Notamacropus eugenii: one gene and its partner. The protein of the gene in region 2 purifies or fractionates together with the protein of the main gene of each other region. This does not show direct contact. Links are inferred from orthologs where the notes say so. Each region holds a gene or a part of one and is shown on either strand. Other genes may lie near its edges.

What was found.
Region 1: the proteins of PPP2R3A (region 2) and PPP2R1A purify together in Homo sapiens (affinity purification with mass spectrometry; 6 studies listed by BioGRID and IntAct, counting the BioPlex papers as one, with this or other methods). This does not show direct contact. The link is inferred for Notamacropus eugenii from reciprocal best matches to the Homo sapiens genes PPP2R3A and PPP2R1A.

The regions. Positions count from the first base shown.
Region 1 is NC_092876.1:25,186,748-25,203,196, reverse strand, and holds the start of PPP2R1A (serine/threonine-protein phosphatase 2A 65 kDa regulatory subunit A alpha isoform), read left to right. Parts: upstream 1-8,604; 5' UTR 8,605-8,719; coding exon 8,720-8,797; intron 8,798-13,779; coding exon 13,780-13,870; intron 13,871-16,449. UniProt on the Homo sapiens protein: The PR65 subunit of protein phosphatase 2A serves as a scaffolding molecule to coordinate the assembly of the catalytic subunit and a variable regulatory B subunit.
Region 2 is NC_092876.1:331,683,397-331,699,630, reverse strand, and holds the start of PPP2R3A (serine/threonine-protein phosphatase 2A regulatory subunit B'' subunit alpha), read left to right. Parts: upstream 1-8,747; 5' UTR 8,748-9,038; intron 9,039-16,234. UniProt on the Homo sapiens protein: The B regulatory subunit might modulate substrate selectivity and catalytic activity, and might also direct the localization of the catalytic enzyme to a particular subcellular compartment.

The DNA of each region.
Region 1 (16,449 bases), about 310 Mb from region 2:
AAGGAATACAAAAACATGGTCTCTACCTCAAGGAGACTGGGTCAGGCATCAAAGACACCAAGGTCATCTGCTGTGTCCTGGCCATTGCTAGTCATTCTGCCACTGGACTTTGAGGACTCTAGAAGAGAGACTAAGGCTGAGGAATTTGTGCAGCTCTGCCTCACCTCAATCCCATTCATGCACAAGTCAAGACATTACCCCAGAAGTTCCCTTCGAAAACAAAGGGCACATAGTAACAATGAACATTCCAGTGGGGGAGACAACATGAAAATAAGTACATATATCCAGGTGACATACAAAGTGGATGCAAGTTCACCAGCAAAGGGTCCATCTTTTACAAGAGGCCTTTCCTGCTCCCCCATTACCAATGCCTAGAGCTAAATCTAGAGGTAGAGGGACAGTAGTATTTCAGGCATGAGGCACAGTCAGTACCATGGCCAAGGGACTAGAGATGCAGTATTGTGTATGAGAAAAATAAGGAGGCTGGGTGCAGTTGGGGCATAGAACAAGAAGATGGCGGTCAGTGTAGGAAAACCAGAGAGAGAGGAAAGGCTCAGCTTACGTAGAGCTGCAGGTGCTAACCAGGTGGCTTTATACTTAATCCTGGAGGTAAATGGGAGACATTTAAAAAGTTCGAGAGACATAGTTTCTGGGTAGTTTAATTATTTTATGAATAACACCAGCATGCTTATTAATAAAAGGTCAATGACACCCTTGAATGCTAAACACAGTGGGCTCACAGTTTATACACCATTGAAAGATCATTCCTGAGAGGGGTGATCAGCTGTGATTGGTTAACAATTAATGAGAGAATGAATATTATAATGGGACCTGGGCTATAGTACAGTGAGGGTTTTGGGGGACATGACTTGGATCACCCAAGTCTTGGTCAAAGAGACTTAACAATTCCCATACCTGTCTGACAAAAGAGAGGATCCACATTTTCCCAGACCTGTCTGAGCAAACATAATGAGCTGGAATCCTCTCATTGACCCAAACTTAGAATATCTTTTACTTTCTGATTAGATCTTGGCCTGGGTAAACCTTTGGGAAAGTTTCCCACATTGGATGATTTCTGGATGAAGAAATAAAAATTTTGATTCTGATTCAATAATTAGTTATTAATACAAGAGAGAAATCATCATTTCTCACAGGAGTTACTGGTATTCAGTGTGTGTATATGTGTATGGATGCATGCACATGTAAGCGTGTGCACTTGTGCAGGTGGGTGATGGTGACAAAGTCTGGAATACCTGACTCTAGGTAGACGATTGTGTAATGAGACAAGAGGGGCATCAATGCTGTCCTTGATTGGAGTACCAATACTGTACCTTAGATGGATACTCTTTCTATACTATGGTTGAGTAAACTTCTTTTAAGGTTATGGAATCTAAGAGTGTTTTATTTTATTCCAATCTTGAATCTGAACCTGGTCTCAGCCAGGCCTGGCCCAGAACACTGAGGGACCTTGGGCAAACCACTCTCTCTTTGGTCCCAATTGAAAAGATTACTGGTTTCAACTCTGGGTGATGGAGCTAGACAGAAGGAAGGAGGGAGGGACAACAAGTATTATTGGATGCTTGATGGGGAAGGATTTCTTCCCCATGGGGCAGTGCATTTGTGCCTGTGGGAGGGTGAGAGTCTCCATTCTTTGAGAATCCTCCAGAACAGAAATTGGTGGTCCTCCCTTCTCTTTACACACCCATCTGACCAAGGCCAGATTTTTTGAAGAGGTCTTAGAAGGAATGAGAATTCTAGGGATCTAAGGGTCCTGAGTTCAAGACTTCTATAGTTTTATGGTTTGGGCTTCAAAAATAACAGAGTTTATTACTTTGAGGTTCTGTGATCCCAAATTCTAAGTATTCATTCACTAAATAACCTTTCATTAAATGCCAACTGAGTGCCAAATGCCTCTTGTTTATGATTATTCTCCATTTGTGTCTTATTTTTTCGGGAGGGTTAGGGAGAGGTAAATAGCAAAAAGAAAAGGAGGAGACCTTCATAACAATAAAAAATTTTTCATAGCAAAGCAGCGATGCTGGTCCCAGTCTGCATTTTATATCTCTCCCCTCTCTGGCAGAAAGTGAGTCGCAAGAATACAGAGACGCACCGCACAAGAAATATCTTAACATCTCCAATAACTATGATGGGGTGGTTACTGATCTAGAGGTAGACATCCTGGAGGGTGAAGTCCAGTGGGCCTCAGGAAGCATTGCTAGTAGTGAGGCTGGTGGAGGGGATGGAATGCCAGCTGAGCTATTTAAAATCCTGAAAGGTGATGCTGGTAAAGCGCTGCACTCCAGAGGCCAGCAAATTCGGAAAACTCAGCAGCGGTCACTGGATTGGAAAAGATCACTTTATGTTCCAATCCTAAATAAAGATAACACCAAGGACTGCTCAAATTACTGAAGAAATGGACTCACTTCACCTACTGGAAAGGTCATACTTAAGATTCTGCAGGCTAGGCTTCGGGAATATGTGAATTAAGAATTATCAGAAGAGTAGGATGGTCCTCAAAGAGGCGTGCTGGATTATGGAGAAAGCAAGGGAGTCTCAGAGAAACCTCTACTTCTGCCTCATTGACTACACTGAAACCTTTGTGTGAATCACAACAAAATGTGGCAAGTCCTCAAGGAAACTGGAGTACCAGATCATTGTACTTGTCTCCTGAGGAAGCTGTATGCAGGTCAAGAATTAACAGTTAGAAATGAACATGAGATAACTGATTGATTTAAGATTCACAAAGGAATAAGACAAGGCTGCACACGTCACCTTGTTTATTTAACTTAGATGCAGAGTAGATCATGGGAAATCCCAGACTGGATGACTTCAAAGCTGGATTTAAGGATGCCGAGAGAAATATGAACAATCTCAGATGTGCAGATGATACCACTCTGATGGGAGAAAGTGAAGAAAAACCAAGAAGCCTCTTGATGAGGGAGAAAGAGGAGAGTGCAAAAGCTGGCTTAAAGCTTAACATAGAAAAACCAAAAACGCAAACCAACTAAGATTTTGGCAACTGATCCCATCACTTCCTGGCAAAGAGAGGAAGAAGAAACGGAAGCAGTGTTGGATTTTATATTTCTGGACTCAAAGATCACTGTAGATGCTGACTGCAGCCATGAAATTAAAAGACATTTGCTCCTTGGAAGGAAAGCTATGGCAAATCTGGACAGCGTACTAAAAAGGGAGACATCGCCATGCTGACAAAGGTCCGTATAGTCAGAGCTATAGTTTTTCCAGAAGTAATGTATGGCTGTGAGAGCTGGACTATAAGGAAAGCTGAGCACTGCAGAATCAACACTTTTGAAAGCTGGTGCTGGAGAGGACTTTTGAGTGTCCCTTGGATAATAAGGAGATCAAATCAGTTAAAACTTAAAGAAATTGATTCAGGCTTTTTTAGTTTGGCCACATAATGAGAAGATGGAACTCAAGGGGAAAAGACACTGATGATGGGAAAGACTGAAGGCAAAAGGAGAAGGGGACAGCAGAGGATGAAATGGGTAGACGGTGTCATGGAAGCAAAGAACATGAGCTTGGACAGACTTTGGGATACAGTGGAGGATAGAATGACCTCCATAGGGGCCATGGGGTCACAAAGAGTTGGATAGGACTGAACAACTACAATAAATACAAGAAGGAAAAGTCAAGGTAATCAGATTAAAATTTATTTAGCCCTTTCAGGTTTGCAACACTGCAAGCTTAGGACGAGAGGAGTCTGAGAACCTGGTCATGCCCTCAAAAGAAACACTGAGGTTAGAAAGAGCAGACTGAGAGGGAGATCTAGCTCGAGGTTCTATGGAGGTGCACAGGGGATGTCCTGTAACCAGGGCCAGGCCTATTCCATTTCACCTCAGGCTTCCAGGGCAACCCTGAGGCTTAAGTCCCCTCAGGCTGTTATTCCCTCTGTTGTTAGGGAGTTCGTATCTAACATCCCAGTTCCTTTGAACAATTTAACACAGGCTTTTGCAAAGGGAATTTTTTATTTTTGCTTCAAAGGTACAGTAAGAAGAAATTGTGAAATTGAAAATTGATTTTAATTCTATTATTATAGTTTATCAAATTAGATTTAATATTCCCCTTTGAAAGTTTCACTCAGGTAACTTCAAGTCACCTGAGTTACAATTCTTATCTTGTAACTTGTATCTTTACCCTTATAACTTCACATACCACCCACATGGTGGGAAAAGAACAGGCTTAAACTAAATTGTAGACTATTTCCATCTCTCTAGGTGGGGTTGTCATATCTTTGCCTGGTGATCTTGGGAGTGGAGGGGGGGCGGTGTTTATAAAGAGAGATCCAAGAGATGGTATTTTCAAACTGAGGTTAGGGGTTTTGACTTTCTGGCTTTTCAGAATAAGACTCTTCTGCAGCTTGAAATTTTGTTCAGGAATCTTGTTCGTTGCTATAAAATACCTTGTCATGCTTTAGCCTCACTGGCCTTCTGGAGGTCACCACTGACCCACTTTGTTAGTAGACACTCTTGAAATTCTATATTGTGGCCTGCCAAGCCCTCCGGGACAGACACTTCCCTACATCACCTTGTTCTCTGAGAGAGAAGGCTCAAATCTTAGTTGGGGGCCTCCTTGGCTCTGGGCCCACTAAGTTACTGTCCAGAGTGCTGGATGAATTCTCTCACAGTTCATTACCCCAAATCTCTCCTTGCTCCTGGGGTAACTGATGGGGCTGGTGGCCTCATCTGGCCTGGATTGTGACTCTCATAATCCGAATGCTTGCTGCCCCTAAATGAGTGGGAAACTCTGCTTCCCAGACCTAGAACAGAAAGGAACAAAGAAAAAGGCCCAGAGACCAAGGCTGGTGTCTTGGGGCCCTATGACCACCACACTCCCCATGTTGTGAATAAAGCAAGTGGAGGTGGTTGGAGCTTGCTGGGGCCTGCCTTTTGGAAATGCCAGCACGTCTGAAGAAGGCTCTCCTTGGCCTTGTGATCTGGTTAGTCAGTGGGAACCAGTCACAGAATGACCATGCATGATCTGGTCCCTACCCCCCCCACCAGAGCTCCCTCATACATGTCTTCACTGTTTTCCCAGAAAGATCCTCATTTCTCAGGTTCTCCACGTTGCATCAACTGAGTAAGTTGAAGAAATCTGGGCACATACATACCAGACAACCATCACAGCAGTCAGAGACAGGGCACAGAGGGCTGGACAGACAGATTTAACGATCGGAGTGCACAGACATTTGCCACATATCTACTGTGTGCCAGGCACTGTGCTTGGTCAATGTACAGAGGTGATAACAGAAATCACAGGAATGATGGAGAAGGCAGAGAATATGGAGAGACTTGCTCCAAGGACAGACCCATTGGGAAGCTCCAGACTTGGGGAATTTGAGGCTGGTGATGAGCCAGCCAAGGAGACAGAGGCACAGTGCTCAGAGGGGCAGAACTGTCAGGGAGGAGCATAAGAGGAGTTTTAGGGGATGGGATCCAGAAGAAGAGGGAGCTTCCTGCGTGTAGCAATGCTGCAGAGAAGTTGACAAGAAGGACGAGGAATGACTTCAGAAGGAAGCATTTTCAGTGGGCTGAGTGGAAGTCAGATTGTAAGGGCATAGAGACTGGTGCATTTCTAGTCTGTCTGCACTTGTACAAACACTTCTCCCTTTCCCTGAGTGATACAACCTTGCTTCCCCTGATTCCTAGAATCAAGGATTAGTTTTTCTAAAAGGCAACTAAATGGCCCCTAGCAGCTGTTTGGCCCTTCCTCCCTACTCAGTTTCCTAGGTACCCAAGGGCATAGAAAATCCTGTCCAAGTGGAGCCAGGACCTTCTGAATCTGTAGGTTTCTGAAATCATCATAGCCTGCCTTGACCACCAAATGTGTTTCCATATGGAGATAAGTGGGGCTGAGTCCAAAGAAGTCAATCTTCTTGTTGCTTATCCTTTCTGGTTATAGCAAAGGAAACCTCCTTTGGTCAACTGTTCAATGACTTGTAAGTGTCTCATTTAGTCCCACTCTTGAACGTGAACTATAGGTGTTGGCATTAGGCTTTCCCTAGCACTCTGACAGAATGTCAGCCCCTGTGAGAGCAGGGAACATTTGATTTTTGTTTTTGAATCACTAGTGGCTAGCACAGTGCCTGGCATATTTTAGAGGCCTGATAAATGCTTGATGTTTGATGGACAGTAAGGAAGGGCAGGCAGTGGAGTACAGATGACTCTTTCTAGCAGTCTGGTTATGACAAAGAGGGGATGGATGGAAGTGGAAAGGTTTGTAGGTTGAGGAAGACTTACACCTATACACAGGCCGAGGAAGAGAAGGCAGGGTACAGGAAGAGATTGACGAGAACAAGGACCTAGGGGAATATGGAAAGATAGGAGGAAAGGATAGTTGGAAAGGTCAGTGTGAATGAAGGAGAAGATGACATCATGGAATCATAGAATATCACAGGGAATTTAGAACCCAGAATGTTAGGCTGAGAGAGCCCTTGGAACATGGGATGTCAGGGCTGGGGCAAAACTCAGCATGTAGGAGGTCAAAGCTGGGAGGAACCTTAGAAGGTTGTCTCCCAAATAAAATCTTAAATTCTCAATCCTGGCACTGAGAGCCTCCCACAATCCAGCCTACCTGTCCAGTCTTCTCTCTCACCATTCCCTTCACACAGAGCACCTTTCCCCTGAGCCAGGCTGCCTACCTCCACTCTCACCTGCCCATGATCCTTTGCTCATGCTCTCCATTATGCCTGGCATAGCCACTCCCCTTCCCCCACACCTGCTGAACACCTTATCTTCTTTCAAACCCCAGCTCAGGGACCACCTTCTCCAAAAAACAACAGGAAAACCCACTGAGTTTGGAGTCAGATCCTGGTGCTTCCACTGATTCACTGTATGGCCTTGGAAGAATCATTTCATGTCTCTGGCCTCTGTTTCCTTATCTGAAAGAAGAAAGGGCTGAACTAGAAGACCTCCAAGATTCCCTTAAAGCTCCAAATCTAGGCTCTTACGATGAGATGATAGTCATCTAGGAGGAGCAGCAGACAGAGCACCAAGCCTGGAGTTGGGAAAATCTGAGTTCAAATCCAGCCTCAGACACTTACTAGCTGTGTGGTCCTGGGCAAGTCACTTCACCCTGTTTGTCTCAGTCTCCCCATCTGTAAAAGGGAGAAGAAAATGCAAACCCCATCCAGTATCTCTGCCAAGAAAACCTCAAATGGGGTCACCAAGAGTTGGACAAGACTGAATGACTGAACAACAAATGACGAGTTGGTTTCTTAGGTCTCACCTCACTCCAGGTCTAGGATTCTATCCAAGCAGAAACATGGGACCTGAGCAGAGAGGGGTTGGCACTCTGGTAGAATGTGGGACTTGGCCTTAGGAAGACCCATATTGGAATCCTGCCACAGACACTGTGGCTGTGTGACCCTGGGCAAGTCCCTTTCTGTCTCTGAGTCTCATCTGTAATGAGAAGGGGTCCTGTTCTGTAAACAGGAAGCTTTGACACCTTTGCTAACAGAAAATGGCCCTGAGAGTTTGAGGACTCCCTGTACCACTGCCATTAATTAAGGTGGCCATGGGCTTGACAGTCTACGCTCGATTCAGGCTCTGACAGCTGGAAGGGACCCGGGAAGCCAGCAGGTCCAACACCTCCTTCTTCTGCCCCAGTATCACACTTTCTCGTGTCCATAGGCTAGCCCTTCTGGCTAGCTTCTGGAAGCTTCTTGAGGCCCCGTTCTTGGGGAAGCCAGCAGGTCCAACACCTCCTTCCTCTGCCCCAGTATCATACTTTCTCGTGTCCATAGGCTGCCCTTCTGGCTAGCTCCTGGAAGCTTCCTGAGGCCCTGTTCTTTGACCCACTTTCTTTGCTTCTTTTGTATTCAGCAGTCACTCAGTAAATGCTCTGAGGGCCAGAGCTGAGATGAACCTTCGGGTCTCTCTAGTCCGTTTTACAGAGGGGAAAACCCAGGGAGGGCTTTTGACCGGGGATGCCCAGAGAACTAGGGGCACAGGCAGGATTCGAACCCAGGCACAGGGTTCCTTCCATTACAACACGCTGCCTTTGACAACTGAGGGTATACTCCGTGAAATCACGAAGCTCGACTCCTTAGGGCTCAGGTGTAATCAGATTAAGTGATCTCTAAACGCCCTTCCCGCTCTGACGTCAGCTTCCTGGGAGAAGCCAGACACGCCCATGCCGAGGTTCTGCACCTGGCAGCGCGGACCAGGGGGAGAAGCAGGGTGGGAGCGCGCATTCTCAGTCCCCGAAGATGACGTCATCGCACCGCTCCAAGAGCCCGGCCTCCTCTAGGCCGAGTCTCGTCACCGTCCGTCACCTCCTATTGGCAGGATGTGCTGCAGTCGGTCTGTCGCTAGGGGCGATGACCAATGAAATTTTGGAGATCGATTAGGAGGAGGCGGGCCCACTTCGGTTGCTAGGATGCCAGTGGCAGCAGCCCGCCCCTTCTTCCTCCGCCCCTCTACGGGAAGTGGGCCAGCTAGAGAGAAGGCCCCTTTCTCCCCTGGCCAATAGAGGATAGGGGGCGTGTCCCTGTCTACTCGGGCCAATGGGCGCGCGGTGCCTCGTGCGGACTGGCCAATGGAAGCCCAGAAACCCCTGCAAAGTCGCTTGGGAGACCCCCCCCCCCTTCTGCTTGTGTCTCTGCCCCTCCCCCGCCCCGCCCCGTCCCACTCCCTTCCTTTCCCTTCCCTTCCCTCAGCTCGGCTCGGCTGCCGAAGCCTGACGGGAGCGGGACGGAGCCAAGATGGCGGCGGCCGACGGCGATGACTCGCTCTATCCCATCGCAGTACTCATCGACGAGCTCCGTAACGAGGACGTCCAGGTCAGGGCCGGGATCGGGGCCCGGGGGTCCTGGGGTTGCGGGCGGCGCGGGCGGCTGGCTCGGCGTTCTTGGCATCTGAGGGCTGGGGGTGGGGGGAGGGAAAGCGGACCAATCAGCGCCCGCGTCGCTTGTCTCGCGCCTCCGTGGCTCGCTGAGACAGCATCTCTGATTGGACAGCGGTGCCGCTGGGGAGGGGGCGCCCGGCCCGGGGACCCCAGGCCAAGCGGGTCTGTCAGGGGGCGGGAGCGCGGGCGCGGGGGCTGCCTCCGGAACCCCTGATTGGCTGGCACTCCTGGTTCTCACGGCGCGCAGGGGGCCACCTAATTGGTTCGCGGCGAGCAAAGAGCCTCTCGATTCGCTCTGGGCACGGACGGAAAGCGGGGACCCCCCAGTGGGTTAAGGCAGGGGAGCGGCCCCTGCAAGGGGCGGGGCTTAGCTCCTCCGAGGTTCCTAATTGGTGGCTTGGGGATTAAATCCCCAGCTGGGTCCAGGCCTCTCGAGGGAGCCTAGGCCGTGGTGCTTTTGGGGCCCCCCCCATTTCTCCATCTTGATTCTCCCCCAACCCCTCTTCAAGCCTATGACCCTCTGGGTAGAGAAAGTACCCTCCGGGGGTGATGCTGAACGGCGAGCCGAGCCAATCGCCGAGGAGAGCCCGCCCCCTTGGCGGCTTTCCATTGGACAGAGCCAGGCCGAGGCTCGGAGGCCCAGGTTGGGCTCCCGGCCCCTCTGCTCCCTCCGCGGGGTCTGGGGCCGGGTGGGACCCGGACCCGGGCCTCTGGGGGCTGGGCGTAGTGCAGTCGGACGTCTGTTTGTGCCCGTGACTCTGACTGACCACTGCATGACCTTGGGGAAGTCACAGCCCCTCCCTGGGCCTCAGTTTCCCTGTTTGTACAACGGGGAAGAATCTCCAATCCAGAACAACCTTCCCTTAGGGTCCTCCTCCTGCTGAGGCTGCGGGGCCGCCCCCTCCCCCCAGGGGGGCTCCTGCCCTAGTGTGGGGAGAACTAAAGCACGATAGTATGCTGTGTGCCCGAGGGGGAAAGAAGGGGGGGGGTGTCGGGGAAGGCCTCTTGGAGGAGGTGGGACGGACTCGATGGTGGGAATTCTGTGGGTCAAGAAGAGCGAGGTCGTTCTAGGCATAGGTTGCAAAGGCGTGGAGGTGGGAGAGTAGAGAGAATTTACCGGGAATGGACCGCTTTGTGGAGGCTTGAGGGAATAAAGGGGAATAACGTGAGGGAAGCTAGAAGGGCAGTCAGTGTGGGGCCTGACTCGGGAGGGTCTGAAATAACCACAAGCTTTTCAGCTCAGGAGTGCCATGGAATCTGGATGTCAATTAGGAGGATGAACCTGGGAGGCCACCCCACGAAGGATGGCTTACAGTGGGGAACACTGGGAGCAGAGGGTCTTTGGATAGTTCCTCCCTCTGCCCCTCAGCCTTGCCAGCCCAAAGAGTTATGGAAAAGGTCTCACCCAGGGTCATGTCGTTAGCTCCTAAGTAGCGGAACAGTAACTGGAATCCAAGTCTTCAGACTCCAGTTTCCAGGGCTGTTCCCTAAAGCTGAGCCATGAAGCAGTCTTTCACTTGGTTAGCAACCTTTCCTAGCTTTCCCACAGGCCAAGAGGATCTGATTTAGGGTTTTTAACCTATTAGAGCCATGTAGTTGATATAGTGAAAGCACCAGTTTTGGAATTAGAGGTCGTGTCCACATCCCAGCTCTTATTTAATTTTTCCCTCCTGACTTTGAACAAGTCGCTCAACATCCTTGAGTTTTGTTTCTTCTCCAAAATGAAAGATTTGGATTAGATGATCCCTAAGATACTACCTCTCCCTCTTCCTGTTTTAAATCCTGTGATCTCTTCAATCACATCATCAATTAATAAACATTTACTAAATGCCTGCTATGTGCCAGGAACTGGGCTAAGCTTTGGAGATACAAAAAGAGGCAAAAGACAGTGCCTGCTCTTAAGGAGTTTACAGTCTCTTTCCAGTTCCCTTATATACTTCGCCTGTCCCCACCAGCCAGGCTAGATGGACCATTCCTTCTGCTTGGAGTGGCCTTACTTCCTTCCCTTTACCATTCTAGATCTGTTGAAGTGCTCCCCATGCTTTGTGTTTTTACAAGCTCAACTTCAAAGTCATCTTTTCCAGGAAGCCTGCTCTGGTCACTTTAGCTGGAAGTGATCTGTTCTTTCTCCAAAACCGTGTTTGACCTCATGCTTCTCTCTATCTTAGGCATTTAGAGAGTTTGTTTTCCATTATAATTGTTGGCTTTTTAATTTGCCACCTAGATAGTACTCTGAGGTTAGAATCTAGGTCTTAATGGTTTTAAGAATGGTAGATATGGTACTAGACATGGGCTTAGGAAGACCTGAGCTCAAATCCTCTTTCAAATACTTACTAGCTGTGTGATCTTGGGCAAGTCACTTGACTTCTGAGACCTTCAGTTTCCTCATCTTTGAAATGAGGTGGTTGGGCTTGGTGTCTCTAAGTCCTTCCAGCCCTAAATTTGTGATTTATTAGATGCCTACTATGTGCCAAGCACTGGGAAAACAAAAAGAGGCAAAAGTCAGTCCCTGCGCACACAGAGTTTAAAATCTAATGGGGAAGATGACATCTAAGCAGTTATACACAAAGCAAGCTATGTACAGGCTAAATAGGATATAATTAACAGAGGGAAAGCATTACTCTTCCCAATAGTAGATTTTTTTTTCATGGCACTCCTGAGCTCAAAAGCCTTCAATGACTTCCTGCAGCCCAAAGACCAAGGTTCAAACTCTTCTGGTTATTTAAGGCCTTCCCTGCTAGACCACATCCTACCCTTCTAGCCAATCTCCTATTACTTCTCTTTATGTACCCTTAGGCCCTGGCCAAAGTGGTCACCCTCACTCACCATCTTCTCTTGACAGCCTATGCTCTCCCACCTTTCTATCTTTGCAGCTGATGCCTGGAATGATATGGTTTTGCTTGATTTCAGTCTTGGAGAACATTTGCGGAGTCGAATGGGAATGAAATGCCTTTTGTAAACCTTAAAGCTCTCCACCAGTGCCAGGGAGCATTGTTACCATGGTGCTGGGGGTGCGGGGGGATCTTGGAAGGGAAATAGGCTGGAAGCCAGTTATTCATTTATTCAGTGGTTTCCCCATCTGCAAGGTCAGGGGAGTGTGCATGGTTTGTGAAGGCCCTCCCAGCTCTGATCTAAAGGCTTGTGTGGCTAAGCCCTGTGCTCCTGAGACACTGATGAATAACAGTCTTGTCCTCAGAGACTATATGCTCATCTGGAGAGATGAGTCACTCATGGGAGAGAGAGTTAATTCCCATTTGCCAAAGACTTCCTGGAAGTGGTGGCCAGCAGGTAATAGCTTTGTTAATCTCCTTCCACAGGAAAGGATAAAATGTGGCTCGTAGATGGGACTGCTTTTACTATCAGCGGGGGCTCCTAAGAGATCTTCCTGCTTCTAGCCTCTTCCCCTCTCAAATCCAGACTTTATGGGCTGCTAGATTAATTTTTCTAATGCATAGATTTGTTTGTTCTGTTTTTTGGTTAAGGAAAATGAGGCAACTGAATTGTTACATGGAAATAGTTTAGAAGAGAGGCCTTTAAAGGGACCTTAGAAATCACCTGGCCAAGTTTTCTGCCCTCTTTGCCCAGTGTTTTCCCTTTCTTCACAATCTCTTTCGCATGTTATAGGCGTAAATAAGCAGGGGGAGAGAGGGGGGAGGTTAGGGGTGTCAAGTGTTGGCAGCGATTTTCATTCTCTTCCCTCTGCTCTCATCAAGAGTTAGCTCGGTAAGCAGACCATCATTAAGGGAGTCCTTTGTTCAGGTCACCGAGCTGAGCGCCACAGTGTAGTAGACCTTGTGTAGCCCTTGCCTTCAAGGACAGCCTATGTTTAGGAGGGGAATGGAATGTGTATATGATGAAAGCAAACATTTTGCAGTGCTGTTTTGGTGCAGTGTTTTATATCCATGATCTCATTTGACCTTTTGGACAGCTCTTTGCGTGTTTTAATGTTGATAAAGCACTTTTCCTGTGGTAGCCCTATGACCTAGATAGACTAAGTATTATTGTGGCCATTTTACAGAAGAGGAAACTGAGGTTCAGAGAGGAATTGACTCTCCCAGGGTCACAGAGCTAGAATGTTTTGGAGCCTGCACTTGAAGTGGGAGCACTTTCCCTGAATTGATACCAAGCCATGTATGTCATTTAAGTGGTTCAGAGCAGCCACAAGCATTTATTAAATATCTACCCTGTGCAACAAACCATGCTCATCCCCAGAAATTAAGGCCTGTAGGTCTTGTGAGGAAGGCGGGAGTGTGTTCAGTATGTCATGGAGTTCAGGGTCCTCTTCTTAGTGGTGCTTGACCAGAGCCTTGAAGGCTTGGGTTTCTGTGTTTGTGTTTGGAGAAACGTGAGAAGTTGGATCAGTGACAGAAATGGGGCAGGAGTGATTTCAGGGCATTTCATAGGACAGATCATCGTGGGAGCTGGGGGAGCAAAAGCTAGAGGTAGAACCCTAGGAGTACTCAGTCAGGAGGACCCACAGAACACAGAACCTCAGAATTGGCAAGGCTCATAGAATATGGAACCTCAGAGCTGGAGGCCCATAGAACATGGAACCTCAGAGCTGGAGGCCCACAGAACATGGAACCTCAGAGTTGGCAGGCCCATAGAACATGGAACCTCAGAGCTGGGAGGGTCCATAGAAAATGGAATCTCAGAGTTGGGAGGGCCTTTTAACCAATGAACATGGAATGGTTAGAACCCTAGTCTCCTGATTCCAGCCTTATACTCTTTGTACAGGTTGCGGCTGGGGCCAGATTGGGGATCTTTCTGTGTTCCTCATGCTAAATGTTTGTTGCCTGAAAGCTCCTCCTCCCCAGGCACCCTTGGCAGACCAAGAAGATTGGTGGGAACAGGCCAGGCTGCTGAGTGGTCTACTTTCCCAGGCCCTTGGTTATTAACTTCTGCTTTCCTCTGTAGCTCCGGCTCAACAGTATCAAGAAGCTGTCCACCATTGCCCTGGCCCTTGGTGTGGAGAGGACCCGGAGTGAACTCCTTCCATTCCTTACAGGTAAGGAATACTGCACAGACAGCTGTGACCTTCTGGGCGTTGGGTGCTGAGGAAAAGGCTGATGAGGGGAAGGAACCCACTGATACATGATGAGGTGGCTGTTTGGGAAGGGGATGGTGGGACTTTATCCAGGGCTGGGACATTCTGGGTGCCAAGAGAGCAGCCTCTGTAGTCCTCCACTAGACTAGGCAGATCAATGACTTGCCAAAGACTGGTGTATCTGATTGTCTGCAAGCTCTTTGACTGTATCCAGCTTTCCTTTGGGTTATAGAGGAGATGGGGCATGCTCTGGGTTGGGTGGGTTTGACTGACTGAGCCAGAAGACCATTTGAGTAGTGATGGATTGGTGTCAGCATGGAAGGAGACTCGGGGCAGGCCTGGGGCCCTGCCCTGGGCACCAACATCATGAAGGACTTGGATGAAGGCATAGATTTGTGGATGGCATTGTAGCTAGTCAGGAATAAAGACATAGTGGATGTCCAAATTAGAATCTCCTCCAATTTCTAGATCTAACAAGAAGCTGTTTAATGGGGATGAATTGGAAACCCTACCCTTTGGGTTCTGTTTTCCAAGGTTGGAATGGGATAGAAGTGCTAGGACAGCTATTCCCGTGAGGCAGACCCAGAGGTCCTAGTGGGCTGCAAGCTCACTGTCAGTGATTTGGCAGGTGACCTCCATCATCAGTACCTCCCAGGCATCTTCTTGCTTTAGTCTGTGTGGGTGCTCTCTGGTGATGCAGAGCATGGCTCCATCACATCTCAGAAAAACCATCTTGGAGCGTCTGTGTCTGAACATTGCACCATCCCTTGGTGGCCACTATTCTGTTGGTGTGTATCTCTGGCTGAAATGGGTGTGGAGAGAGGCACGAAGTCCCTTGCTGGCTCAGTAGGACCTGTCAGTGCTTGCTCTTTGCTGGAAGAATCCTGGAGAGGGCACTTACCTTTGTGCCCTCAGAGGCATTTGGGGAGGACTTTAGTAAAAGGGATGTAATCTTCACTTGTACAAATAGAAATATGGTATCCACATGGCAGGCAGGAGGTGTGGTGGATAGAGCACCATGAGGACCTGAGTTCAAATACAGTTTTAGACTCTTACCAGCTGGGTGACCCTGGGCAAGTCCATTTCTCCCTGTTTGCCTCAGTTTCCTCATCTGTAAAATGAGCTGGAGAAGGAAATGGCAAACCGCTCCAGCATGTCTGCTGAGAAAACCCCAAATAGGGTCACAGAGAGTCAGAAGCAGCTGAAATAACAACAACGAGAACAAAATCCATGGGGTGGTGGTCCTCCTTTCCTGTTTCCTGGCCAGACCCCATGTAGGTGGTTGTGTTGGGATCAGGACCCACTTTTTAGAGAGGACATTGACAAACCAGAGTAGGTCTGGGGATCAGGCCAAATGGAGAGTGAATAGTGGAAGGAGCTGTGAATTTTTAGCCTATAGAAGAAAGAGACTTGAGGGGGTGGAGCATTGCTGCAATCATTAAATACCTATGAGCAATCTGGAGAGGAGGAAATAGGCTGATTCTACATGATTCTAGTTGGCAGGCCTTGTCTTGGGAAGAGGGAAGTGCTGTGAGATTGTTGAGAGAAAAGGGCCCTGCCTGCTGGGATGGTCTGGCAGGCATCCTGAGGCCTTGAAAGACATACTGGGGTGGGGAGGGAGTGGCTCAAACAGAGGTGTAGAGAATTGTGGGAAGCATTAGGGCTGATGGGAATAGATTGAGGAAAGTTGTAGCAGTGGGGAAACCTGGGCTCCCCTGCCCCCCTGGAGTTGGGCCTCTAACCCATTGGAACAGCTCATGTTTCTGCAGGACTTTCCCCTTGTGCAGCCACCCTTTTGAACACCGCTTTTCTGACTCTGAGGCTGGTCTTGTTTCCACTTCATTGATCTGGAGCCTGGAAGACCCTCACCAGGCAAGGGACATGAAGGGGTGTGAGAGGTCATCCTCAGGCCAACTCTCCAGGCTGGGAGCACTCTTCTCCTTCCCCTGTGCAAGGGAAGAAGATCAATTCTTTGACCTTGGTGTGATTCTGTGATTCCCTTGCTTCAGTACCTTGTCATAGGGGGCCTTTGCCTCTTTGCAAGGCCATCTGTTCCAGGTGTTCATGGTTAGAAAGTTTTTCATGTTGTGTTGACCTCTGCCTCCCTGTATCTGTGAGCCATGGTGAGCTCTGTTCTCGGGGGGGGGGGGGGGGGGGGGGGGGCTGATTTAAGTCAGTAAATATTTATGAATTGCCTCTTATGTGATACAGAAGATTGATGTCCCTTGGTGCTCTTGGGGCCAAAGGGACCTGATGGCTTAATGAACTCAGGTTTATGAAGCCTGGGGCCTGTGGCACTTCTACTGAACCTGGAAAACTGGGCAGCACCAGCAGCCTCCTTCTGGGTAAAAGTATTTGTATGGTGCAGGGCCAGCGGCCCTTGTGGGGAAGCAGATTCCAGCTCAGCAGAAAAAGAAAGTCTTCTTATGTACGGTTATCCATTGGCAGAGTATGCTCTTGTGAAAGGGAGGAAGTCTTCAGACACAAACTGCAGGACCAGGTTTGTGCACAAGAATGTGTGCACTAGCTGGCCTCTTCTG
Region 2 (16,234 bases):
AACAACATAGAATAACATGGTACAGTGGAAAGAGTGCTGGATTTGTAGTTTAGATTTTGTTCAAATCTAAACTTATATCACCTTGGGCAAGGCACTTAAACTCTTAAATTTAGATTCATTATGTATACAATGAGACATCTAGATTAGATGATCCAATTCTATGATTGACTTTAATCCCTATGACTCTATATGTCAATGAAATTCAACAAAGTTTAGTGTAAACTTCTCTTTTCTGGATATATGAATGCAATTTTGTGAGGAAAAGGGCCAAGTCAACAGTAACTGAAGACATTTTTTCTAGTTCAATTGGTTCCTGAAGTTAGACTAACAAGGATGGTGAAGAGGAGTGGGGTCATGGGGATTATATGTATATTCTTCCTTTGTTTCAAATATAGAGATGAAGCATTCTTATTGGTTGAACAGAGCAATAGATAACTTGAACAAATGAACCTAATATCCTTAAAATCAAATTCTTTAGGCCACTGCCTATTGAGGGAATTGTGGGAATTGAGTGAACCACACTGACTCCATCTTGTGACTCAGTTCTGAATCCATATCAGTTTCCTTTCTATTCAGTTGTGGATCTATTTCAATTTCTCTTTTGTGAGAAAACTTTTTTCAATTATGGGATAACTTTATTGTATTGTTTGAACCTAGCCCTGCCTGGCTGAGAAGCTAGACCACCTCTATCTGTTGCTTAGAGACCCTTAACTAAGGGCATAATATATGCTGACCAGAAACCTAGCCAGATCTGAAGACTGACACCAGGAGTTTTCTCACAATTATACATCTCAAGCAACTCATATGTCTTTTCTGAAAATTGGCACCATAGTGGGTAATCAGTTATTGTTTCCATGTTGTTTTGATTGAATATAGATACTTGTGGAGAATGGGACACCTCTTTTTCTGATTCCAGGGCAATGAACCCATTCATTCTCCCCCTCCTGACTTGGAAAGTCTCTAACCTGTCTTCCAATTAGAAATCAGATTACATAATTGTGTATCCTGACTGTTTTCTTTTAACTAATTGGTCTTATTTGATTAATTATTTTTAATGCATAAAAATCTGTCTCCTCCTGTATTTGGAGTCCAGCGTCAAAACTGAATAGGACTGAGCCCAATTTGTTATGCAATTGACCTGCGTTGTTTAATAAAGCTACATGCTCAGAAGCTCAAAACTTGGTTTCCTCAGTCATTTCATCCTTTACCCACCAACTAGTCTGTCTATGCTTAAACTCTCCTTTTCATTACAGAGAGAGGAAAAAAAATCTAATGTCAATCCTGTTTTTATCTGTTCTTTTATGTCCTTGTGAATTTCTTTTATTAAAAAATCTTGAAAAGGTTTTATCCATTACAGAAGGTTTATAGAATATACCATGTCATTTGACAATCATCATCAACAACAAAGATGTATTGAATACTTGCTAAGTACAAGGTGCTATATTATTAACTGTGGTCTGAGATTTGGTCCCATGGTTTAAAATTAAGCTCCTGGAAAGTGGTTAAAAATTGAATTTGAACCGTTTGCCAAAATGTCCCTTGATCTTTGCTTATAGGGTCTCCTAAAAGAAGCAGGACCATTGATTTTTCTAGCACTGAGTTGATACTTTTCTGATATAAGCCACAGTAGTAGTTGTCAAAGATCTTACTAGAGAACATCTACTTTCATTAAGCTCAAGAATAATAAAACCATTGGTGTCCCTCACTTTTAGCCCTCTTCTTCAGTAACCCCAATTTGAAGTTTTTCCCCTCTGCCTGAAAAAAATCATTCCTTCCTACCCAGGCCTTCCAACAATCCTGTTGTTCCTCTCATTCTTTGGAAGGAAAAAAAAATCAAAATTTAAAATTGGGTATAAAGAAGTAAACTTCCCATTGAATTCCCAAAAAACATTTTCTCTCATCATAAAATGGACATGTCAGTGAAAAGCCACAACACAGAATATCCTGACATGGACGTATTTTTGCTTCCCCAAGTAGAGTGCCTGACGTCGGCAAATGGCAAGACCCATCCTTTCATCTACCTCCCCCTAGGCCCTCTCCAGTACATCTGGCCTCATTAGAGTCCTAGACAAAATAGGGTATCAACCTGGCATTGTCAAGCTAGTTTTGCCCTCCTAAAATGCGAGGAAGAACTTCAACTGAGACCAAATTAATGCAATGATAACAGCTCACTAAAAGGTGAATTTTATTGAAAGGTATTTTACATAAGCACCAAAAAACCATTACAGGTCACCATTTCTGGAAAACTGTGATTAATGCTATGCAAGTCATGTACATACTCCCCTTCTCTCTGCCCTTATCTGGTTATAAATTTGGATTTTTGGACATCAGGTTTTATTCAACTAATATCCACAGGACCCCATTATTTTAAATAGCCAAATACAACAAAAAAACATAGTATTAAAGAAACGTAGTATAACCTCATGTAATGGAATCTGCTAATAAGGAATCAGTCCTTAGAATACTCTCAATATTTTCTATGGACAATCCACATGAAAGAGTAGTGAATCTGCTTCCAAAAATGCATTAAGGAAGAGCCCTTCCTCCCTTTTTTAAGGAGTGGGGACTGGCCCTCCCTGCTCAGCTATTTAGAACATGTGCAGGTATTTAGATATTCCCTGATTCTTTCCTACTGGCTTATTGCCATCATGCCAAAAAGACTTTTAATTTTGGTGATTGGGCTAGAAGTACATGTGCATACAAAAGTCTCAAAGGAATGGAACAGTTGTCTCTCATCTGGCACCTTTGAGTGAAGAGGAAGAATGGCTGTAGATCTCTGGCTGAGGAGGAGGGAACCTTCTCTCTTACTGGGCTGCCTTGAAGTTGTGAATGCATGCCACTGATATGTCTTGTCTCTGTTATGTTTATTCTTTCCTGAACTTAGGTGAATAAATATCAGAAATAGACCAGATCAGATATGACTTTGTGAGTTCAAAAGGCTGGAAGTGATACCAAAGGCCCAGCAACTGGAATTTGTGGCAGAGTCTGATAGTAGTTATGGCATACAAGGCTCAATGGTGAATTAATCTGGCAGTCAAGGAACTACATCTTGAAAGCAAAGAAGTGACTTATGAACTGGTTATACCAGACCCAGAGGTGAACTCACTGTGGTAAATGTTTGGTGTTCACCACTATGTCTGACTCCCCTCTATCAGATGACTGAGTGGATACATAAAGAGGAGGGTATATCCCTGAGTTGAGGGAGCAAGTAGTCATTTTATACTTCTGACTTTGCTATGCTTTCTCAGTAAATATCTCTTTGTAAAAGCTAATTGATGTTAATTGATATTGAGGAGAGACCAGTTGATTAAACTGATATTGGGTATATATTAACTGATGATTGATATTGGGGGAATAGCTCGAATGGGGATGGGGTGAATTCAAGAATGATCATATTACAAAGACACACCCAACCCTTCAAGGTTATATATCTAGAACTCAAACACATTATACAACATAGATAATGTTAATTTGTGGTTTTCTAGGTCAATAAGTTGCCCACAGAGACCTGTTTCTATTTGAGTTAAACAGCACTGGGATAGATTATCTCTAAGGCTCCTTCCTCTTTGGATGTTCTATGTTTTATGACACCATAAATCTCTAGTGATACTTTAAATCTCCTACAATAGAGATTCTGAAGAGTCAAATTTACATAATGAAATGTTTACATAAATACAATACATTTAAATATAGATTATACTTTGTGCTATATGGTTTGATGTATTGTGTTTGAGGAAGAGGACATGGAGAGATCTTACTATGCAAGCTGATGATGCAAAGCTGTTGAGACAAACTACTACTACATTATGAGCTCTGAGGGAGTCAGCTCTGTCTTATTTAATATTTTCATTTCCATTAGAACTTTTAACACAAAGCTCAAACCTTATTATTAAGTAGGGATAGCCACGAACTGGACTTGTGATTTCATGGGTTATAGGAAACTCCTGAATGAGGAAACTCTGTGTACCAATGTAGGTTGGCACATTCTCTCCATCTTATGGGTTTAGGGAGAGACCTAAAATATTGAGGGTTGCAGTGACTTGCACAAGGTCATATAGTTTATTTGTGTCAGAGGCAAGTCTTAAACTGCCATCTATATGGCCTCAAGACCATCTCTCTAGCTGCTAAACTATGTTACCATTCTATCTATTACTAAGTACACACTTAATAAATCTTTATTGAAGTTGGAATCAGAGATCAACATACAGAGTCAGCATATTTGAAGCTGGACTAAAGTTGTACTAACTAAATAACTTCCCCTCTTTCTATCCTATCTAGCAACATGCATTGGACAGTGAACTTTTGCAAAACCCTCTCATACTACCAACTTCCCAAAGGTGTTGTGGATCAAATGAGAATATATTCGAAGTGTCTTAGAAAATTCCAATGGGCTATACAAGTCTATTTCAAATGACATTTTCCTGACTAACATTAATGCTGTTAAGACATTATAACCAAAGGCCATTGTAAGTATGGGATGAAAATTGAATGGTCAGTGACTATGAAATATTAACACTGTGTTTTCATTTTAATTAATCCTTAAGATGAGTTATGACTGCATGCTTAGCTATCACTTCTTATAGCATCACTTTACTTCCTGTAAAATATCATTTTAGCTACTGATAGGCTTAGTCCAAGCACAAATTATAAAGCAGACAAATTTTGTCTATCACTAACTTTTCCTCTCTATATTTTTCCTCTGCCTCTCTCTACATCTCACAGGAAGCTCATTGCTGTCATACTAACTTGGTCCCTCCTGATTAAAATACCTGATAAACTAATTTATATTATAGTGTTAATAACAATGCATGGCCTCTCCCATAGTTATTTGCATTTTAAAAGGGGCTGCCAGAAAAAGGGAATTTTTAAGCCAAAGGAATGTATCTATAATGGCAGAATTCCTGGTGCTGTTGCACATAAATGGGGAAAGTATGGGCTCAAGGGAAATAAAGCTAGAGAGAATCTTAGAACCAATTAAAACAAGGAAACGTATTAGAAAACATTTGAATCTTCTGTGTTTCCCAAAATATGTAATACAATTATTGATTTAGGACTAGAATTAAGACAGTCTGGAACAATACCCTCGGTTTATGAGCAGCCCGAGGCCCAGAGAGGTCAAAATGACTTGTTCAAAGGTACTAAGGTAGCAAATAGCAAAGCCTGGAATGAAACTCAAGTTGTCTGATTCAAAGTCCCTGTGTTTTTTCCTTTCTACTACAACAAGCCCTTACCTATAAGTTACAAGAATCACAAATTTCAGAGTTAAAAGGGACTTCAGAGGCTATGCAATCCAACTCATACCTGCATGATAATCTCTTCTATAACATGTCCAAGAAGTAGTCATTCAGTCTTTATTTGTAGACTTCCAGTATGGGTAAATCCACTCATTCTCAAGGCAGCCCATTCCACTTTTGGAGAGCTATAATTGTGAGGAAGTTTTTCAATATATCAAACTAAGTTGCCTTTTCACAGCTTCTATTCTTTCTCCCAGTTCTGCCAAGCCAAACAAGTTTAATCTCTTATTTGGACAACAGCCCTTCAAATGGCTGAAAACAGCTATCATATCTACCCTTAGGCTTCTCTTATCAAGAATAATTTAATCTTCACAGGGATTGATCTAGAGGTCATTTACCATCTCAATCACCCTCCTGTGGAACCAGCCTAGTAATTTCCCTTCTAAAATGTGCCACCCACAAGGGAACACAATAACCCAAAAGGAGTCTGACTAGGGCAAAGTATAGGACTACCTACCATCTCCCTCGTCCTGGATATTATTCTCCTTTTGAACACAACGTAAGATTATATTAGCTTTCTTGGCTATTATATTGTACTGTTAATTCATGATGAGTTTGCAGTCCACTAAGATCTCCATATCTTTTTCAGGTCAGCTACTCTTCATCCACGCATACTTTATCCAGAAAATCTGGACTTGATTGTTTTTAAGCCAAGTATAAGATTATGACATTCAAGTTCAAGAGACATAGTTTCTGGGTAATTAATCATTTTATTAATCATCCTAGAATATAATTAATAAAAGGGTCAGTGGCACTCTGGAATGCTTCATGGACCCCTCATGGAACCCACTCAATGCTTATATATCCTTGGAAGGAAGGTTAGGTGCTCCTGATGGTGGCAATCAACTCTGATTGGTTAACAAGTAATGAAAGAATGGATATAATAATGAAAGGGGGGCTTATTCTAATAAGGGTCTGGGGGACATGACTGATCACTCAATCTTGGTCAAAGAGACTTATCTATACCCATATCACCCAGTCCAGGGTAGTCTAGATGAAAGGAGAAATCCACTTTTATCCAGACCTGTCTAACACAATGGACCAGAATCCATCAATTCATTTAAAGTAAAATTTCTTTACTGTTTGTTATCTGTTCTTTTGAACAGATCTGAGTTTACCCTCTCATTATCAGCCCTGCAATTCAAAGGCCCCCTGAATAACCTACAAAAACTGATTTCTGAATGAGCAAGTAGGAAAGGGGAAAACGCTTAGTGCTAATTAAATAATTGGTTCTTATTATAGAAGGAAAATAATCATTTCTCTCAAGACTTTTACACTTATCCCTACTAATTTTCATTTTATTAGGTTCTATCCTAAAACGCTAAACTGTAGAGGGGTTTTTTTTGGAATGCTAATACTGTCATTCAGTGTGTTAGCTTGTATGCAAATTGGATAAACATGTTACCTATGTCTTTATCTCAGTCATTGATATGACTGTTAAACAGCAAAGAGCCAAGCTCAAATTCCTGGAGCACTCAACTACATGCCTCCTTAAAAGTTGATTTTAAATCATTAAATGAATGACCTTTCAGTCTAGCCATTCAATCAGTACCAAATCCACCTAACAAACCTCCAGCTTTCTCCCTCCCTTCCTTTCTCCAGGGTTAAAATGCACGAGTGACTTGCTCAAATGTTTTGCTAAAATCTAGGTTAAGTTGTACCTAAATAAATGAAATCTAAATGAGCACTCCACCAATAAAGCAGTCTAAAACTTCTGTCAAAAATGGAAATGAGAATATTATGACAATGCTCATTTTCAGTGAAATCATTCTGGGTCTCTCATCACTATTTCCTTTTCAGCACATTCAATAACCATTCTTTTAATGATTCATTATGGCAATTTGCCAGGAATAAAGGTCAACTTCATTGGCCGGTAGCCTGCAAATTCTACTCTCCTTTAAAACAAAAATTGGGACATTTTCCCTTTTCAAAAATCTGTGGAATCTCTCCAGTTCTCCACAATCTTTCAAAGATTCTTCAAACCGTCAGTTTTCAATACTATCTAGGATATAGTTCATCTTGGACAACTCAGTAAGGACAAATAGGTACTTGGATCTCTTCATCTGCCTACTTGTCTTGAGTACCAACTCATGACTGGCCATTCTTGGTCATTATTATCAAATGATACAACGTAAGTGAAGCATTTCAAGAACGGACTCTGGAGTCGGAGGATTTGAGTTCAGATCCCGCATTGGTTGCTTATTAGTGACCTGTGTGTGCCATTTGATCACCCTGGGGTCCTCCTTTTCCTCATTTGTAAACAAAGGGGTTGGATTGGATGACTTCTGGGATCGCTTTCAGATCTAGATCTGCGATCCTGTGATCTCACTTTGCATATAAATGTCAGTGCTTATTATTGTTCTTATGGTGTACTTTCCAGTTCACAGATTATTCTTTTTGACAGAAAACCGTAGGAGAGACAGACAGAGAAGGGGGAGGGAGACAGAGACAGAGAGACAGAGACGGAGGGAGTCAGAGACAGAGAGACAGAGACAGAGAGAGTCAGAGACAGAAAGAGACAGAGAGACAGAGAGAGCTCTGCCTTTTTTCCCTTACATACTAAGATCAGTCCTGCCTAAAGAAAACGGGGTGGTTGGTATTCTTGGGAATTCTTTTGGGGGGGGGGTCCAATTTTCAAATGGCAAAACCTCTAAAATCCCTTTCATTTTAAAAAAGTCATAAGAGCGGACAAACCGGATTTTGAAATTTGTGCGACATCTCACAAGTGCCCCCGTTTCGCTGTATTTAGAAATGCCCGGTCAGGCTGGACCCGGCCCGGCCCGGCGCGACAAGGAGCGGCGCCGGATCAGTCCTTGGGCCCGGTCCGCGCTCGGACCACGTGAGAGGCCGCTTCGCTGACGGCCCAGGCGAGGTAACACGGACACGGCGCTAAAGCGCGGCTTCCAATCATCCAGAGCTAACGAGGTGTGAGGACTGCGTGTGTACGTGTGTGTCAGACCGGGCGGGTCGGAAAGCTGGAGGGTGCAGCGAAGGGGGAAGAGAAGCCGTGGGGGGCTCCGGAGCGCCTCCCCTCGCGTCACCTCGGCCGATCCCGGGCTTGGGGGCTCGGGGGCTCAAGCTTCGCGCGGCCGTCCAGACGACCCTCGCTCGTTATCCCACTTTGGATCAAAATAATAGGGACGAGGTCTCCCTGAAAGACTGAGGGAAGGGACGTCGGGAGGGCCACGCGCGAGCTGCAGGGGCTCGAGGAGGCTGCGGCGGGAGCGCGCGCGGGCCCCTCTTCCCCCTTCCCCTCATCCCGTCTAAGCCCCACTCCCCCGCCCGAGACACGCCGGGATCGCGGGCGTGCGGCCGTGGCCGCGGCGGCCCATCGGCTCTCGAGGTTCCCCCAGCCGCCTCCCCGGAGCCCCGCCCCGCCCCGCCCCGCCCCCTTTCTCGGCTCTGGAGGCTCCTCGGCGGGCCGGGCCGAGGCGAGGCCGGGGCCCGGGCTGGGGCGAGGCGAGGGCGGGGCGGGCCCGAGAGCGGAGCCGAAGCTCGGGAGGCGGCGGCGGGCGGCGGCAGCGACGGCGACTGTGGGCTGGTCCGTCCTCTCACACATTTCCACTCCCGCACGCACGCACGCGCACACCCGCACACCCACACGCCCCCCTGGACTCTCGGCGCTCCCGGAGGCGAGCGGGAGTATCGGGTCGCGGGCGCTGCCGCGGCGGAGAGCAGCCGGCTCGGGTTTCTCTCCCGGCTTGGAGCGGACCAGGAGGAGGAACTGGAGCCGGAGCCACCGAGGTACGGATGGGGGCGCCCTGTGCCTGCGGCCGACCCCGGGGCCCGAGGCCGGGGAGGCAGGCGGGGCCCGCCCAGCAGCCCCCCGAGGAGGGGGGAAGCATGGGCAGGAGCGCGGGACGACTGCTCCCCCCTCCCCTCCCCCCGCGCGCTCAATGTCAAGGTCTGGGACGGGAGGGTCAAGGGCTCGCGAGCCCCCCCAACCCCACCCCGCGCCCCGCTCGGGGAAAAGTGACTCCCGGGGCGTGAGGAAGGGGCCTGCCCAGGTTGGGGGGTGGGGGTGGGGGTGGGGGTGGAGAGACTTCCAGGCAACCAGTCGGTAAACATTGTCAAACTAATCCTCCGGTGTGCCTAGCGCTGTGTGGCGCCCTGGGGATAAAAGTAAAATTGATTGACATGAAATAAAACGTTAAACGTTCAAAGCTCCCTTTCCCCGGGGACAGACGAGGCAACGGGAATACGCGGAGATCCCCCCGCCGCACTCTGCCTCGCGCCGTGCCGTGCCCTCCTGGGGAACTTGCTCATCAGAAAAGCCCGGCGGGGCAGCCAGTGCCAGCGGTCTGGAAGAACTGACTTGTCAGAGACTCCTGCCCCTCCCCCTCCCCCTGGGCTTGGCCAAACAAGGCTGTGTCACAAACCTCATTTTATGAGAACATGTTTTGACCCCTGGCGATTCCGAGGATGACTCGCTGAAACCGAGTTAAACGGTGCTCCTGCTCGGGGCAGTTGGCCCTGGCTCCGGACAGCCTGGAGAGTTGTGCTAGTGTGGGATGGGCCATCGCACCGGCCGTGGTGGGACAGAAAGCCCGGTTTAATGCGCTGCGCTCACAGCTCAGACTTCATTGACATGCCACATGCAGCTTTCAGTTTGGAGAGCACTCGATGTAAACCAGCTGGCCCGGGGCTTTGTCTTAGCCTGGAATCTCAATTCAATGTGCTTTTTCTGTGGTTAGTCAGAGTACTGGGACATTCTAGTTCTTCAGGAGAAAGGGCTTGTAAAAGGAAAGGAAATTGTCAGTGATCAGATTCTCCAATTAAGGGTGTCTTTAAAATGTGGTGTTTCTTCAGATTATAATTAGTATTGAAACTCAAAATACATAATTGTAAAAGGTGGACCATATCCGTCACCTCACTTTGTAAAGTGCCCATACAAGTTCTGTCATTCTTGGCTACGACAATCCTGAAATCCTCCATAGTTCATTGTTCTCAGGTCCTGTTTTCTTGAAACTCAATGTTATGAACCTATAAATTGTGGTATTTGGTCAGATCCATGGTCTGTTGAACCTTGGGGGTTTTTTGTGTCAGAGGAAAATATTGTGGAAGGAGATATACGCGGAAGGGAAAGTAAGTCTTTTCTGATGACAGCCTCAGATCTTAAGCCTGCTTAAAAGTTTTTGGAACACAAACTCCACCACTAGTACTGTCACGTTAGAATGATGACCAAGATTATTGTCCCGTAGTGGTGATCTCACATCTTAAATAGGTGAAGTTTTAAACAGTCTTGAGCAGGTTATGTTACTGGCCCCTGATGGACAGTGCTGCCATTTTGCTGGTTAGGGAGCAGGTAGTCAAGTGCCTACTGTGTGTTAAGTACTGTGTATATGAAAAATGAAAATAAAACAGTCTTTGCTTTGAGTAAGCTCTTATTCTGTAAGAGGAAACAACATATACATGTGGGTAAGTACAAAATATGTGCAAAGTAATTTTAAAGTCGTTTATTAAGTGCCCACCTTTGTGCTAGGCACTAGGGGTTGCAAGAAAAAAAAGACTGCCCCAATGGACTTACATTCTATGAGGAAACAAAAAGTATTTGTAAGTAAGTACAACATACATACAAAACAGTTTATGAGAAGAGGGGACAATAGCAGCTTGGGAAATCAAGGAAGGCTTCCAGTCTTCAAGTAAATAGCACTTTGAGCTGGTTGAAATCAAAGGATTATGCTTGTGGGTTGAATTTATAAGAGTTGCTGTAATAGTAAACTGAGTGCTTCTTTCTCTCAGGCCTAGGCTATCTGCTGAACTTCCTTGGCCTTAAAGGGGCCTCATTTGTATAAAAAATTATGTAATTAATCTTCCTAGGGGTCAGTTTATAGGACAAGTAGGTTCACTAGCACTGTACTCCAACTTAGAATTTGGCTGCTACAAAATCATGTCCATGCTTGTGATGCAAAATGCCATCCATATCCAGAGAAAGAACTATGGAGTCAGAACGGAGAATGAAGCAGACTATTTTCTCTTTTGTTATGTTTGGTTTTGTTTAGTTTTTTCGTGCCTTCTCCCATTCGTTTTAATTTTTATATGCAACATGACTAATGTGAAAATGTGTTTAATAGGAATGTATGTGTAGAGCCCATATAAGATTGGGAGGGAGGGAGAGAAAATTTAAAACTTGTGGAAGTGATTGTTGAAAATTGAAAACAAATCAATAAATAAATTTGGGGGAAAAAACGAAATCATGTCCATGGCTAGTTTTAAGACATTCACTTAAGTGGTTAAAGGACATTTCAGGATTCCAGACACTTCCTAGGATCAGGACGTTTGTAAACCTGTATATACAGTGAAAGTAGGGCAAAGATCTGTTTGACTCCAGAGGTCCACTGTAATATCTGATACTTAGAGAGCCAACTTTTCAGGAGCATTGTCAATGGGGAGAAATTCAGAATGAACTCTTTGTCATACTTTGTTACTGGGTGGTACAGTGGTATATGTAGTAAGGAATGGTACTCACCTACACGTCAGTAACAAGGGAGGCCAAAGAATTTTTTAATTGTTTCGTTTGTGATTCGTTCCAAAGGGACCAGCACTCTTGGGCTGGCCCAGGTTCACAAGTAGGAGTCATTCTCAGCTCTACTCTCCTGTCTTATATCCAATCAGTTGCCCCTTCAATAACTCTGTTCTTACCACAGCCTCCTTAGTTCAGGCCTTCACCACTCTCCCCTGGACTATAACAATAGCCTCCTAATCTTTTCCCTATATCCAGTCTTTCTCTTTTCCAGTCCATCCCCCAGAGTTGCCAAATTGATTATTCTAAAGCACAGGTTTGACTGAATCATTCTCCTGCTCAAGAAACTTTACTCTCTACGTTTCCAAACTGTGCTTCCCCCACCCCGCCCCACAGCCCCCATCTTCAGAATGACATTAAAACTCTTCTGTTTAGTATTTAAAGCCCTTCACAATCTGGCTATTTTTTTCAGGCTTGTTACAATTACTCTTCTCACCCCCACATACTCTGTACTCCAGCCAAACTAGCCTACTTGCTGCTTCTGGTATGTGACATGATGTAACTAACATTCCATTTCCTTCCCCCAGGCCTTTGTACAGGCTTTCTCTCATGCCTGGAATGCTCTTTCTCTTCAGCTTCACCTCTTGGAACCCCAGACTCCCTTCTTGGCTTAAGTGCTGCTTCTTTTCTAATTCCTTCAGATGTTAGTCCCAATTCCAAGTCACTTATTATTTTACGTATCTCTTGCATTTCATTATCTGTGGATATATTGTGTCTACCCAATAGAATATAACTTCACTAAGGAAATCGACTTGCCTTTGTGACACACAGTTGACACATAAATGACGGTACTTGGATGAGTTCTTAGACCATATGCTGCCAAAGGTCATTAAGTTATTGTCCAGATACATCATGATATGATGTCATAGTTCAGAGTCTAAACACTTCATTCATAAAGTATTCAAAGTCAAAGGAGGTATTAGAACAAATGATAATTCTGTATTTAAAGTCAATAGATCAATACTATTTTTCATTCATTATCCTCCAAATTATAGACTAAAGTACATGTTCTCCATCTCCCAGAGAGGTAATTTTATTTTTACAGTAGCTAGTGTAATCTAAAAGACTCAAGGTAGTATAATGAAGAAAATAGTGATAGAGTCGTAGAATCATAACATTGAAAGGGACCAAAGAAATTGTTGCATCCAACTGTTTCATTTTATATATGGGTAAATTGAGTTACAGAGGTTAAGTGATTTTTTTCCAAATTAGTAAAGTGTCAGAGCTAAGACTACAATCTAGGTCTTCTATCTAAAAGATAAAAAAATCTTTTTTACTTTCTTTTTGTTTAAATGAAGAGCCCTAGAACCTTAGCCAGTGATTTAAGGTGATTGAATGAGTCCTTCAAATTCTTAGTGTTGAAATCACAATGTGCCGTTCTTTCTAGTCTATGTAATGGGCATATCTGTTCCACCAAGATCTATCACCTTCCATCAGTCCTGTATTTAACTGATGGAGTAGCTATGCACTTGCCTTTATTAAGCTGAAAATTATTGATAGTATTGTTATTTTTCTGGAGGGATGTATTAAAAGTCATTGAGTAAAGGAAAACATACTGGATTGAGAGTCAGGAGATCTAGATTCTAAATTCTGACTCCATCATTAATTAGCTGTGTGACCCTTAAGTAAATTGCTTAACTTTTCTGAGCTTCAGCTTCTGCTTCTGTGAAATAAATGGCTGGTTGATTGCCTCTTCATGTCCCCTTTCACCCCAGAGCCAGTTTACACCCTCATCACCCCTGTAGTCCCCTGCTTGCTTTGGGCATTTACTTCTGTAAATATAATGTTTGCAATGTATTTTGCAAGTGGGGAGAATAAAGAACTATAGACACCAGAGCATTATAAGTAATTTAGACTGTGTAAGCATTGGGCACAATACTGCGAAGTGTATTAATTATGATGATGTCATTAATTTATATTCCATGAAAAGTTATATTTTAATCACTTAAATTTACAATTTTATCTCTCAGAATGATAGATGTTATGCTACTACTGTATTTCTAAGTTGAAAATATTTTTTAAGAAGTGTAAATAAATACATACATTCACTAGGGTGGTGGGAGAAGAGAGGCAAACTTTTCAAACCTTGCCCAGGGCACTAAATGCCAGCACTCACTTCTAGTCACCTCTAGTCAATCTCTTCATTTTCTTCTACTCAAACTTGCTTTTTCATAAATCTTCATAAGGAAATGAATTGTCTTTTGTAAACTTTGAGGGTGATCTGTATGTCCAAGATGAATTGTTCTGAGACTGAAACCAGTAACTGGTTTCATTTATGTCTTTATATCCCTTGCTCTTAGCACAGTACCTTTATACATAGTAGTCATGTAACAAACACTTGTTGGATGAGTTCGGAATTCTCAATCAGATATCAGTAAACCTCTTTTGTGTCCAAGTGAGCTGTCCAGATAAAGCACAGCTGTACATATAGTCCTAGGCTACCTCAACATAAAGAATAAAAGAAGCTCTCAAGCATTGTGCTCAAAGACTTTTCTTTTGTAAAAAATTCTTATTCTCATGAATTCTTCTATCTTAACTAATCCATATTCCTAACCTTGCCTTAGATAATTCCTAAAACTGTTCAGACCATGATCCTGAGTTCACACTCTCTTGATTTTGTATTTTCCTCCACTCAGTCAACAACTAAGATGTGGATCACTGACTCAACCTATAGCCAACAGTACTGTTACCCAAGAACCTATCACTAGATATCAACGTTCCTAATTACTTTTAGAAGGAGGATGCCATGATGAAGGTATAGGCATTGCCTACTGTAGGACAAGACTGTCTTATAGGGAGAGCACTTTTGGATAAAGGAAAATGATAAACAAGAATATAAACTCTTTGAGGAAAAGGTCTGTTTTGGTTTTTTTCTTTGTATCCCTTGGACCTAAGTGCTTTGCATATGGAAGCCACTTAATAAATGTTTGTTGTTGAATAAACAAATACATTACTATCTGAACTACAGCTGGCTGTGAATGCAACTCCATTAGACTGAATAGTTCCCGAGAGAATCTTCTCCTCTCCCCTCATGCAAATAAATTCTTAATCAGTCTTTTGGAGAAATTTCATGAGGTCCTGCAGTTGTTGCCTAGTTTTATAATGAAAAACTAATTATAACTACAACTGAGACCCAAAGATTTCTTCATAGTGTTTTTGTTTGCTTAGAAGAAACTAGTTTACTAAAAGACAGTGGTACTCGGTAGACAAACATCAATTCAGTTAAAGGCTGTTTGTAAACATTAAAATATTGTATATGTGTGAATTATCAGTCACTTCTTGAACATCTTATGGGAATTTATTAGCTAAACAATCTTATTCTTGTCAGCTTTTGAATAGGAGCTTCCCAGCAGGAAATTCATCTTCTTACCTTGCTACCTAGGGCCTAGATCCAGCTATTTGCCTAGCAACTTCAGGGAGAGTAGACTCTACCCAAGTGTAATCCAGAAGACCCCAGAAGAAAAGAAACACTGATAATACTTTAATTTCTTCCATTGGTATGTACAGAACAAATACTACTGTTCCATGTAATCAGAAATATCTGGAGGAGAGGGAGGGGGAAGTCATCAGTACCACCATGGAAGGGACCCTTAGGACTGGCCTTGAGAATCAAGAACTCTCCCCCACATCCACCCCAAAGACATATCCTGTTGTCACATACAACTAATGTTGATGGTGCATCTCTTCCGGAAGAACATTCTGGGTCTATATCATACTTGGCTGGTGCCTTGAGCAATTTTATTACTCAGTCAACAAAAACTTAAGTGCTTCCTGTGTGGCAAGAGCTATGCGAAGAGCTGGGAATACGAAGAAAAGGCAAAAACACTCCCTGCCCTCAGAAACCTACATTCTAATGATGAAGACAATGTATAGGAAATATAGAGTAGAAGAAGGGTTGTCTTAGAGGGGAAAGTATATATACAAAATACATCCAGAATAGAAGGAAGGTTACCATGGAAGGGAAGGCACTAGTATCTGGGGGGAACCACAGAAGGTGGCTTATTGATGATTCTTGAAGGAAGCCATGGATTCTGGAGGTAAGAAGAGAGAGCATTCTAGACACAGGAGAAAATGGCTGCAAAGACTTAGAGATAGGAGATGGAAATCAACTAAGCCACATGATCCAAAACATATCAGTGAAACCTCTCCCCTTAAATCTTCTGTACCACTCCTCCCCCTTCATCTCATCCAAGGACTTTCTTAGTTTATTCAGAAAACAGAAATCTTCTGTGGCAAGCTCCTTTTCCCTACTAAACTTAACCTTAAAATCCTTCTTCATTCTTCATTCTCTTCTCATATGCTACTGTCTCTGACAAAGAAGTAAGTAGCTCTTCTCCTTCCAAAGCCAAATCTGTCACTTTTATCTTTGGTCCTCCCAGCTCCTTCCAGAGCTTTTCCCTTTTCAATACTTTCTCCC